Linked DNA regions of Nothobranchius furzeri. The protein of the gene in region 2 interacts with the protein of the main gene of each other region in a biochemical or structural test. Links are inferred from orthologs where the notes say so. Each region holds a gene or a part of one and is shown on either strand. Other genes may lie near its edges. The genes, in order: ube2s, anapc11 and ube2c.

Evidence for each region.
Region 1: the proteins of anapc11 (region 2) and ube2s form a complex in vitro, tested with the Homo sapiens proteins (31 studies listed by BioGRID). The link is inferred for Nothobranchius furzeri from reciprocal best matches to the Homo sapiens genes ANAPC11 and UBE2S.
Region 3: the proteins of anapc11 (region 2) and ube2c form a complex in vitro, tested with the Homo sapiens proteins (66 studies listed by BioGRID). The link is inferred for Nothobranchius furzeri from reciprocal best matches to the Homo sapiens genes ANAPC11 and UBE2C.

The regions. Positions count from the first base shown.
Region 1 is NC_091745.1:76,825,072-76,829,281, reverse strand, and holds the start of ube2s (ubiquitin-conjugating enzyme E2 S), read right to left. Parts: upstream 2,875-4,210; 5' UTR 2,700-2,874; coding exon 2,697-2,699; intron 1,765-2,696; coding exon 1,617-1,764; intron 1-1,616. Other genes in the region: josd2 (josephin-2), read left to right, coding at 4,119-4,210. UniProt on the Homo sapiens protein: Accepts ubiquitin from the E1 complex and catalyzes its covalent attachment to other proteins. Catalyzes 'Lys-11'-linked polyubiquitination.
Region 2 is NC_091744.1:6,780,302-6,783,655, forward strand, and holds anapc11 (anaphase-promoting complex subunit 11), read left to right. Parts: upstream 1-1,486; 5' UTR 1,487-1,836; coding exon 1,837-1,945; intron 1,946-2,536; coding exon 2,537-2,682; 3' UTR 2,683-2,805; downstream 2,806-3,354. UniProt on the Homo sapiens protein: Together with the cullin protein ANAPC2, constitutes the catalytic component of the anaphase promoting complex/cyclosome (APC/C), a cell cycle-regulated E3 ubiquitin ligase that controls progression through mitosis and the G1 phase of the cell cycle.
Region 3 is NC_091743.1:77,062,269-77,066,407, reverse strand, and holds the start of ube2c (ubiquitin-conjugating enzyme E2 C), read left to right. Parts: upstream 1-1,203; 5' UTR 1,204-1,309; intron 1,310-1,555; 5' UTR 1,556-1,575; coding exon 1,576-1,682; intron 1,683-2,724; coding exon 2,725-2,752; intron 2,753-3,193; coding exon 3,194-3,280; intron 3,281-3,368; coding exon 3,369-3,573; intron 3,574-3,678; coding exon 3,679-3,738; intron 3,739-4,139. UniProt on the Homo sapiens protein: Accepts ubiquitin from the E1 complex and catalyzes its covalent attachment to other proteins. In vitro catalyzes 'Lys-11'- and 'Lys-48'-linked polyubiquitination.

The DNA.
Region 1 (4,210 bases), on a different chromosome or scaffold from region 2:
GAGTGCACTAGCACCGTGTCCTCAGAGAGGTTAGTTATTAGTTATCAGTGTGAGGAACTTATTTCTACCTTATTTATAAACTATTTATTTACAAGTCCATCAGTTAATGTAATAATTGTCCCAACCACAGCTGCACCCCCCCACCCCCCAACCCGGTCTCACAGCAATCATGGGCAAGATGCACGTGTGTTTAGCGCGCCGCACGCGCACATTTAGCCATTTTTAGCGGCTCAGGAGCCCGCAGGTGCGGTGTGTGTGTCACTCACTCTAGTTACTCCAACAAGGAGCCGACTCCGAGAGCCGTTTCTTTAGCGACTGACACATCACTACATCATTCCCTTTCCTAATGTCCTGAAGAACGGTCCGGAGCGCAGGCGGAGTGTTTAGCTAACCTGCAGAAATGTCGACGACAGTTATCCAGAAAGTAGCTAAGGGTTACCAGAGATGTTTCTGAGGTGTTCGCTAGGTACTTTTAAGATTTAAAAAGTCAAGAAGGGGGTCTGAAAAGCTGCTAGAAATAGCGTCAAAGTCGATAAGTTGGCAACACGGAGGAGCGCTTCATTTGCAACTCAGGGCAGCGCAAGTGGGAGGAGCAAATAATCGGCTTGTTTTTATAATCGTTCAAAACTCAGATCGTAATTGGGATTAAAATTCGATTAATTGAGCAGCCCTACGCTGTACTTTCTGGATCTTCTCGGTGTCCTGCGCCTGCTGATGACATCACCATACTACGACAATACCGCGCGGTCAAAATATACTGCATCTCTTTTTCGATTCTGTTCTTCCACATATGTTTTGGAAAGAGTTTAGCAGTTTTGTTATTAAATTTGTGTTTCTTACTACCTAAATGCTTGTGAACGTGGTAACGCAACTTCTGTGAGTCAGCCATTCATCTAGTGTGACGTCATCAACAGGCACAGGACGCCGAGCCAGCCAGAAGGAAACAAGGTGTCCCCAATAAACACCAGACCCGCACCCTATGAGAACTACCTTATGGGTTTGTGGTACAAAGCCGCCAATACTTTTCAACGACTGGACATAACTTTATTTATTTTCAATAAAGTTTTGATGGATTTTTTCAGAGATTGACAGTAAAAACTAGGGATGCACCGATATGAATTTTTTGGACCGATATTAATATCACCGTTACGGCCGATAACAGATGTTTGCGATACTGATTTATGCTTCTGAAATCAGCTACTTTTGTATAGACTGAAATTATGCAAGCTGAATTTTTGAATGTTTTGCTTCATTTCTGTTAAGTGGAATTGGCAATATATTATATAAACACACATTTATCTGTTACCTTCACTGTCACAGGACTAAACAATTACACATCATCACCCCCCTTACCCTCGGAAACAGATACACAAACAGAAACAAGATGGAAAAAATATTGTTTGTTAATACCGGCCCAGTTTTACTTGTCGGACTGATATCGCTATGTTAAAAAATGACTAACATTGGCCGATACTGATATTAATGCTGATATATCGTGCATCCCTAGTAAAAACTACACACTGTCTCTTTAACCAACTGAAATGGGAAGTGTGTAAGATAATCAAACTAAACTAACAATAACAGATGTTTAGTTTTTGTTGCATCCTGACTGTTACCTGGTCCTTCAATGGACGTGTGGAGTTCAGTTATGTCTTCTTCACTGGGATAAATCTTGATGCCCTCAGGTGGGTCTGCTGCTAAAGCGGAAACCTCTTTGTAGACCAAACGCAGAACATGAGGGGGCAAATTCTCGACATTAGAGTTCTGAGGAGAGACAGAGCAACGACTTAGCACTAAAGAGTTTCGGTATGAACACTGAATTTCTAAACATGAAACAATATTTTTAAATAAAATATATAAATTTCACCTTTACACTGTTGATGGCCAACGTTAAAATGGCTTTAACTCAATAATGCACGTCATAAATGACTGTTTGCTTTGCTAATTTGAATTTTTTAATAAATAAACACGAAATATCAGAAGTTACACTTAAAATTATGCATAGACAAAAACTAAACAATATTAGTAATATTAATAATTGTATTGTATTTAAAAAGATACACAAAATGAACGTACAGAAGATGTTTAAAGTGAAAATAATGCATTGTGTCAAAGTTTCTACCTATTTGCCAGTCTTTCTGCCAATTTATTATCATTTTTGATCGTTTAAATCAGATAAAACAGTTTTACAACCTCGCTGGGGAACTATTTATCTCACACGGAGATAAAAGAGGAAAGTTTTCTACGCAAAACATTATTTTATTTCCATAATATTCATACAAAAAAAGGCACATTAGTTCGCATCTTGTTGAGTATCTGGAAATGTTACTTCAAATTCAGCAATCAACACGTTTAGGGCAAGCTCAGTATGAACGCGTCTTTTAAAACTACACCTTTAGATAAGTCAAATGTTTGTAATGTCCGCTAACGATCAAATGAACTTAAGTACATTTATGTTACAGCTAGCATTACAAGCCTAGCTTTAAGCAGGTAACCTCAACGCTTCTTGTTATTTTATTCCAATATTAGTTATACTAAAGACGTTGGATAGGTTTTAAAATGAAGGTTCTTTTCTCAACAACTACCGGAATACATATAAAATAGTCAAAACTCAAATAATAAAGAAAATGTTTCGACGACTTAACATCGACTCAAGCTAGGCAACCGTTAGCTGTTAGCATGATGCTAAGTCTTACCATCTTCGAAAAAGAGATCTGTTGAGGTGATAAATGTCCGCCTGGTGTCAGATAAAAAAAAACGTGTTTTCTAATAAAGTTCGAAAAGAAATACAATCTTGGTTGAAAACTTAGTCCAGTCTAACTGTTTTTGTTTTCTTCTTTTCCCAGGAACGAAATTACGTTTCTCAGTTTAAGCTACTGCCATTGACCAATCGGCATTTTAGTGAAATTACGCGTCAGACGATTACAGCCAAACAAGATAGAGTATTTCTGTTACGTCATCAGTAGGAGCACAATCAGCCAAACCGCGCCGAAACAGGACTGATACCAATCAGCTATTGGTCATTTTGAAAAGAAAAAAAAACACGCCCTTGATTAATAATGGATCGGCACCCTTTTATGTCAGCACACGCTGGCGGTGCTCCGGGAAGGTGGAGTTAAAAGGTTCCCTGTTAGTTCAGAACGCAACAAATACATTTACTAAAGGATTTGTGGATTTCACGAATTTTTTAATGATCAGAATACGTTTGATTATTAAAACACGAACTGTTTTTTTAAGTTAGACATTACATTCGGGGCAGATAACTATACATTTACTATTCTTTATTCACATAAGTACTAACATATTCATTGTCATATCCAATATATCAGCTAGATAGATAGATAGATAGATAGATAGATAGATAGATAGATAGATAGATAGATAGATAGATAGATAGATAGATAGATAGATAGATAGATAGATAGATAGATGCTTATCTAGAATAAAATAAGATAAAATGCATAAATGATAAATACAATAAAAGTGTTGTAAAATACATTAAAGAAGTTGTTATACATAAAAGTAACAGAGAGTGATAATTTTTACTTTTGAAAATGTAATGTATTCTATTGATTTCGTGTCATTACACATATGTTGTCGCTGACATTTATATTACTTATGAAGGAGAACGTTTTTGTTTTTGAAAACCAAAGATACTGCCAATCCATAATTTTCAATTGGATAATCTAATAGTTCAAATGTGTTGTTCATCATTCTAATCATGGTTCAGTGCTCTACAATCACTGAAAAACAACAGTCATGTGTTAAATCTAATCAGGAAGAGTTGAAGCTCATTCAATACAAAACACGCCAATGAAAACTGTACTGTGTGCGATTCATAAGAGTGTAGTTATGTGGCGGATTAACACGCAGTTATGTGTAGTTAGGGTGTTTTTTATGAGCCAGGACCACATTTGTAATATTTTATCACCACCTCTAGTAATGCGCCCGTTTCTAATCATGACCACTAGAGGGCGCTGTAGCACAACGTCACCGTTTATTTCAACCCGTTGGAATACGTTAGCACTTCTCGTTTGAAACCCATAAAATAAGATGTTTGCACCGCTAATTTTACGTTATTTTCGGTTCTCATAGGTTAAACGGAATCTAATCTACGCATGTTGTTTACTTATTTAAGACTGGATGCATATGTGAAGTCATCTAATCAACAACACAACACAACAAGGGCGCTACTTCCGGTTTCTGGATG
Region 2 (3,354 bases):
CGTTAGATTTTCGTATTAGCCAAGACTTTATGATTGATCTGGGCGGAATTAATCTGATATAAGTAGATCGGTCAAATAATGCAGATGCATCCTTAACTTCAAGGGAACAAGACATATTTAGCCTTTTTAGGGCCCCGATTCTTAGCGTGTTGTAAATGCTAACTGGCGTAACCAGTCTCAAACTAAACTCATATTGTTAAGCAGCTTTTGATGCCTCTGGTCCCTTCTGGCCCGTTACTAGGCCAGCTAGCTAAATTGATTTTACTCTGATGACTTGTACAATTACTGAACTCACTTAGATATGCATTTCCTAGACGTAATAAGACAGACTATTGAGCGTTTTGCTAAAACCTTATCTCATCAGTGTTTGGTTAGTTGACGACAACAACGAGCTAAGACAAAAACGTCCTCCTTACCTTATTTTTATCTGCTGGACAAATATCCTTCTTTAAAGTGTCTCCTATTAAGATAAAAATTAAAGAAAAAACAAACAACTAAAGCAAGTTGGGTGACTTATATTACCACTCAGAATGAACGGCTAGCTCAACGGTTATCATTTAGAAGCATGCTGAAGCTAACCACAGGGCCTGTTTTCTGCCTCCTGGTTAAACTGTGGCCCCCTTCTGGGTGGAGGAGGAATAACACAAAATTCAAACTACAATAAAACGATCAGATTGAATGAATGGATTAACCTGATGATGACAGGTTTAAGGAATTCTAATGTATTGGTGTAAATGTTGAGGTGTTATGGTTGTCCTTACTGATTACAGCTTTGAGGTATTTTTATTTCTAAAAACAGATTAAAGACAACAAAATCACTAAACTAAAATGGCAAATGTATTCTTAAAACGTATAATGGACTTTGGCACGCATCAAAATTTAAAGATGGGTTCATTAAAGTCTCTAAAATTAGGTATTATTGATAAAATCACAAATGCTGCCAACTTTTCAAAAATATTTCATATTTAATTTTTTATTTATAGCTATTGTAACTTTATAATATAGTTCCCTCCTCATTTATTCATGCGTCTTCTCCTTAACACAAATAATCCGAAAAGGCCAAAAACAGCTTCAATAAATGTCTTCTAAACAGAACCAAAATGTAGTTGCAACTGTTCGCCACTGGAGGGCGGCAATAGCTCATTTTATTCATATAAAGTCAATTAAAACTGCGCTTGTCGCGCCGTAGCTAGCTGAGTTTAGCTATTATCATTTTAAGCAATTATATTTGTAGGAAATTTCTTAATTATGTTATTTAAAAAATCTGGGTCCTTTCTAGCAAGGGGATTACAGATGGGTTAGTACCACAATTAAGTTTCCTCAAGGCTCAGGAAAATGTGATCGCTCATTTGTCAAATGTACATAAATTATGTGTTATTGAATTAAGTATATTTTCTGAGATGTTATTCCTCCATGCCAACATGTCTTTGCATGTCTGCAAATAAAACACCGCAGAGTAGCAGGTGAGAATTACTTTTTCTAAAGAGGGACATATTTCGTTGTAACACCGGATGACAGAAGTAGAAGAATGCTAAGCTAGTTAATTTGATTCTAAGTGTGTGCATTTACTTTAATGAACATACGTTTTTACTGTTGTTGCAAATCATTAAGGCTCATTGGTAGCTGCTCCGTGAACTGTGGTAAATATTTCAATCTGGAAAAAGTGCATTTGGTGGCGATCAATGCAGCTTCTGTGAGACGAACGCCAACCCCGGAAGTAACGGGACACAGCCTTACGTTGCAGAAAACAAATCTTTTTCAAAGTTGTATTTTACTGCTATTGGATGTCGGAAGGAAGAAACTGAATAACTCGCGGACCTGAAGTGCGGTTTGAGGATGAAAGTTAAGATCAGGCAGTGGAACGGGGTGGCCTCCTGGTTGTGGGTGGCCAACGACGAAAACTGCGGGATCTGCAGGATGTCCTTCAACGGCTGCTGCCCGGAGTGTGAGTAACCGAGCTGGGATGGGTTCTGGTTCGAAAGTAGCACCAAATCCGATGTCCTAAAATTAGATTTTAAATGTCCAGAACTAGAATAGGATGCCTTACATTAGCTTAAAACTATTGTTACAGAGCTGCTGAAAGGAAAATGTTTCAGGGTATGTTTGCTGTTAAGGGTGATCCTGCCCTAATGAGATCTGGAAGGCTAACTGAGGCCTACAACGATCTATTTTATTCTATTTAGGTACATCTGAGTGACAAAGGATTACAAAACATCCTTCATCTTTTGGATCAGTAGAAGAACAAACTGTAAAATGTTACTACAGCACCTTAAGAAAGGTCTTATGAATGTTTGTTGTCTGCATCTCATATCTCAAAAACAGCATAGGTTGCTGGTTTAGCTTGTGGACAAGCATACAATGCTGGTCCAGCATCCCATGCTAGACTAGCATTACATGGTGGAGCATCTTACCAGTACCAGTACAAAAGCACAACATATGCTGGAAACCAAACCAGCTGTGCTGTATTTTTCAGCAGGTTCTCTTCAACCTTTTACAGTGACTATTAATAAAATGTAATTAAAGTCTCATTTTGCAGGTAAAGTTCCTGGAGATGACTGCCCACTGGTCTGGGGTCAGTGTTCCCACTGTTTCCACATGCACTGCATCCTGAAATGGCTGAACTCACAGCAGGTGCAGCAGCAGTGTCCGATGTGCCGCCAGGAATGGAAGTTTAAGGAGTGAATCTGTTCATCTGTTTGCAGAATTCCCACATTTTTATCCCAGCTGTAAATAACAAGAGTTGTATTCGTCTACACTGATGCACAATTTTTCTGTTAAGTTTGTGATTAAATCTAAACAAATGAATTATGCTGTTGTGCTGTTGATTTACTGCTGCATCAGACTGATTCAAACTGCAATTCTTTTCAATTAGTTGATGTTTGTGTTTAAAAAAAAGGGGGAAATGGTCAAATAAAGGACAAAAACATAAGTTTTATACAGCAGTATCTAAAGGGTCCGCTGAAAAAAATATTCATCATAGATTTGACACTGCAGGACCAGAAAGGTACTTGGAGAGCAAGTCACCCCCAAATTAACTTTCTTTTCTGATGAACTATATTCAATTCAAAAATACTTTATTAATCCCAGAGGGAAATTAGAGTTTCTGTACACACTAGGGCCCGACTGATATATCGGCCGGCCGATATTGGGGTATTGGCCTAAAAGACGGCTGATGTGGCCGATATTGCGCTACCTATCCAGCAGATGGCACCAGCTTTATGAACTCGTGTTGTGTGTCTCCACTCCTTTGAACTTTGAACACAAATTATTGTTTTGGAACTTATTTATTTATTTATTCTTATTTATGTTTCTTATGTGCAATTATTTACTGTCCAGGGTGAATAAGTTCACCAA
Region 3 (4,139 bases), on a different chromosome or scaffold from region 2:
TCACTTTGTATTTATGGTTTGTGGTATTATTGTTGCTTTGAAAAAATAAACATGGGCTTACACACACACACACAATTCCCATCTCACCCTCCGCGGGTGGTCTCATCCAAGCTTGGGTCCTCTACCAGAGGCCTGGGAGCTTGAGGGTTCTGCAGTATCTTAGCTGTTCCTAGAGCTGCACTTTTCTGGACTGAGATGGTTTTCCTGGGATTCCTCCAGTCTGGGGGTTACTGCCCTGATGCCCATGAGCACCACCGATGTCTTCATTCTCCAGGCTTTCTCAAGTTCTTCTTTGAGGCCCAGGTAGTTTCTCATGCTCCTTTTTCCTGAGGTTACATCACTTTGTATCGCTATATCAACCACAACAGCTGTCCTCTGTTGTTTGTCCTCCAACACAATGTCCGGATGGTTCTCCATCACCATTTTATCAGTTTGGATCTGGAAGTCCCACAAGAGCTTGGCTCTTGTTCTCAACCACCTTAGGGGGTGTTACCCACTTTGACCTTGGGGCTTCCAGTCCATGCTCTGCACAGACGTTCCTGTACACTATGCCAGCAGCTTGGTTGTGGCGTTCCTTGTATGCTTTCCTTCCCAGCATCTTACACCCTGCAGTTATGTGGTGGATTGTCTCAGGGTTCTACACCTTGGGTCTTGTCTGGTGTGGTAGATGTTCAGGGCCTGTTCCTGTGCAGCCATGATGAGTGCCTCTGTGCTATTCTTCAGACCAGCTCTTTCTAGTTCTTGGTAGGATTTCTTGATATCAGCCACTTCATTATATATATATATATATATATATATATATATATATATATATATATATATATATATATATATATATATATATATATATATATATATATATATATATATTCCCCTCTGACCCTCTGCAGGTGTACTCATCCTCCCAAGCTCCAATTTTTGTGATCCATCATTTAACTTGATTTAGGCTCTTGACTCTTCTAGGAGATTTTATACATCCCTGTAGGAGGAGGGGTAAACAAAAATGTGTTTAATAACTTAGATTTTAAGTTCATTTATTTAAAAAACGCGTTTAAAATAACAAATTGAACCAATGACTTCCGCTGTGTGAACGCCTAGATGGTGGGGGCGGGTTCTGGCTGATTCTACTGGCCAATTACAGTGTAGCTTTTTAATCACCATCTTCTCATTGGTTCGATGAGGGTAGTTCATTTTTTGAAAGTCAGACACTGATTGGCTGTTTGTGAGGAAACGTCGTTTTAAACTGGGGGCGGCAGAAGAATCGGTTTGAATCTAGAGAATCCAGCCTTCCACCACGAACTGAACACCGGTGAGTGTTTAAATCAGCTATAGTATGGCTATAAATGTAATCATGTGTTAGCATGAAGACAAAGAGCCAGTGGTTCTGACCGGTACCACGAGGCACGGCTCAGCGTTTTCTCTGAAATCTCCGGGAGTTAGCATGTAGCTGCTGTTAGCTACAGAAGCTACGGCCCGCTCGGTTGGATTTGATCGGCTCGGTTCGGCCTGCCTCCCCTGCTCAGTCCGTCTGATGTTATATCTGTGTCCTCGGCAGGAGTCGGACTAGCAGCATTCATGGCCTCCCAGAATATGGACCCCGCCGCGGCTGCAGCTTCCTCCACGGCCGCTCTGAAAGGCAGCGAAAGCAGTGGCAACGCGACCAGAGGCTCGGTGACCAAACGGTGAGTTCCGGGCCGTTACAGAACCGGAACCTTACAGGTGTAAAGAATGGGTCGTTTACATCTTACTTCTGAACCATAAAATGTGAGATTCCATAGAAATATGAAATATCAATCTGATGGATCTTTGTTCAGAAGATCGGAACTTTTTATTGCAGGGATTAAGCAACACTTTGTACTAACTCCAAGGAAAGAGAGAGAGTCAGGTTTAAAATAGTTAAAGAAATGTACTTCTACACAATTTAAACAAGAATAACTTAAACACTGTGTACTGATGGAACTAAGGTGGTGTGTGTGTGTGTGTGTGTGTGTGTGTGTGTGTGTGTGATGTTGTTCAGAACCAGCGGCTCCGTAGAAGCAGTTAATTCTGAGTGGGAGTGAATGTTTTGCTCTAAACTTTAGTTGGAGATATATAACACACATGAAACGCCATCTGTCGGTCTACGTTTCTGCTGGACTTGGTTCTTCTTTGGACAATAAAATATCAATAACCCAGTGAGTTCTCCAGCAATGTGAGCCTGCAGCTGCATAACTAGAGATGTGCCAGGATAATCTAAACTAACCTAGAGTCTACGCAAAGGTGCTTCTGCTTGATGTGGTGGAAACATGAAGCTGGTTCCACCAGAGGAGCCTGAGAACTGGAAGTTCTGCCTCCTTACTACTTTTAGGACCGCTGGAAAGTTGAAGCCACAAGTAAAAAGCAGCCTGAGAGCCAAGTGTTCTGCTGGGAACATCTGGAACAAGAGCATCATTAATCGAAAAAGCGTGATCCTTCAGATTTGGAAATAAAATTGAAACTCAATTCTGGATATTTTAGCTAATGAAGTGATCCTAAAACTGAAGAAATCTGATCTCTCCTGGTTTTATTCATCACAAAAATGAATTTTATGAAACAGGAAAGTTTGAGTTGTTAACTGATCAGGTGCTTGAATTTTTTTTATTTGTGAAACAAATTGTTCTGTTATTGATCTTATTACTGCAGCTTATTTCTGGACCTGTGTTGCACTTGTTTAATTCGTATGTGTGTGTGTGTGTGTGTGTGTAGGTTGCAGCAGGAGCTGATGACTCTCATGGTAAGTTCACATCTATAGTTTTATTTTGGTTTCAATAACAAAATGAAAGATGGACGATCCTAACGGGTCACAGGACAGTTGTTAGTCAGAATGTTAACGAACCTGATGACCTGCACAAGTTCATCCTCATTGGGTGGTGGTGTTTACTCATTGATTGATGCACCCATAGTCACACGATCTCCTGCCTCAACACTAATGCAGAGTTGGTGCTGGTTAGGATGAGTGTTTAGCTTGAAGTGCACAGGTGGCGTTAGTCATCTGCAGGTCAGCTGCTCCGTTCTCATCCAGACACTTATCAATGATTTGTTTGTTTCTGTGATTGATTTCTCTGGTCTGATCATTCACACAGGAGCATCAATACCAACATACCTGACATTAGTAAAATCAACAAAACCTGATATTTCTGAGGTCATGTGACCTGTGCGTTCCTCCCTCCTGTAGATGTCGGGTGATAAGGGCATCTCTGCTTTTCCAGAATCGGATAATCTCTTCAAATGGGTCGGAACCATCGATGGAGCCCAAGGAACAGTATGACCACATAAATACAGCACGATCTAAAACTTGACCCCTCCACTTGCTGCTCTGATTCACCCGACACTCTTACCTGTGTGCCCAGGTGTACGAAGGCCTCCGGTACCGTCTGTCTCTGGAGTTTCCAGCTGGGTATCCGTACCATGCTCCTCGGGTAAAGTTCGTCACTCCGTGTTTCCATCCCAATGTGGACGATCAGGGCTTCATCTGTCTCGACATCCTGAAGGACAAGTGGTCGGCACTGTACGATGTTCGTTCTATCCTGCTGTCCATCCAGAGTCTACTGGGAGGTAACCGGAACCACCAGTTTGCTGTCTGCTAAAACCTGATGGATCCATCAGAGCCATCTTTGCACAGCTCAGAGAGCAGCACACAATTCCTTCTGTATTCCCCAGAACCAAACAACGAGAGTCCTCTGAACACGACCGCAGCAGAACTGTGGAGCAACCAAGGTGGTAAGTACACCCACAACCTTTCAGGCAGCCAGCAGAACCCAGAGAACGGCCAGCTACTAATACAATCGGTGTTTGGGTACTTTTGAGCAGTTCTCTTTTGTGACTTTGCTGGTGAAGGTTCTGTCATCCAGGTCATGGTAACCCAAAAGGATTCAAATGAAAGTGACTGGACTTCTTTGGTTTGAAGACGTTTCGCTTCTCATCCGAGGAGCTTTGTCAGTTCTAACTGGAAATGGGAGAGTCAAGCTTATAAGCTGTAGCTGCCTATTGTCTATAGAGGCCAACGACTCAGTGGGTAGAGAGGAGGGGTACTCAGAGTAGTTTCGGCTCGTTAAATAACAGATTCCAGTCAGAATTGACAAAGCTCCTCAAAGGAGAAGCAAAACGTCTTCAAGAAGCCA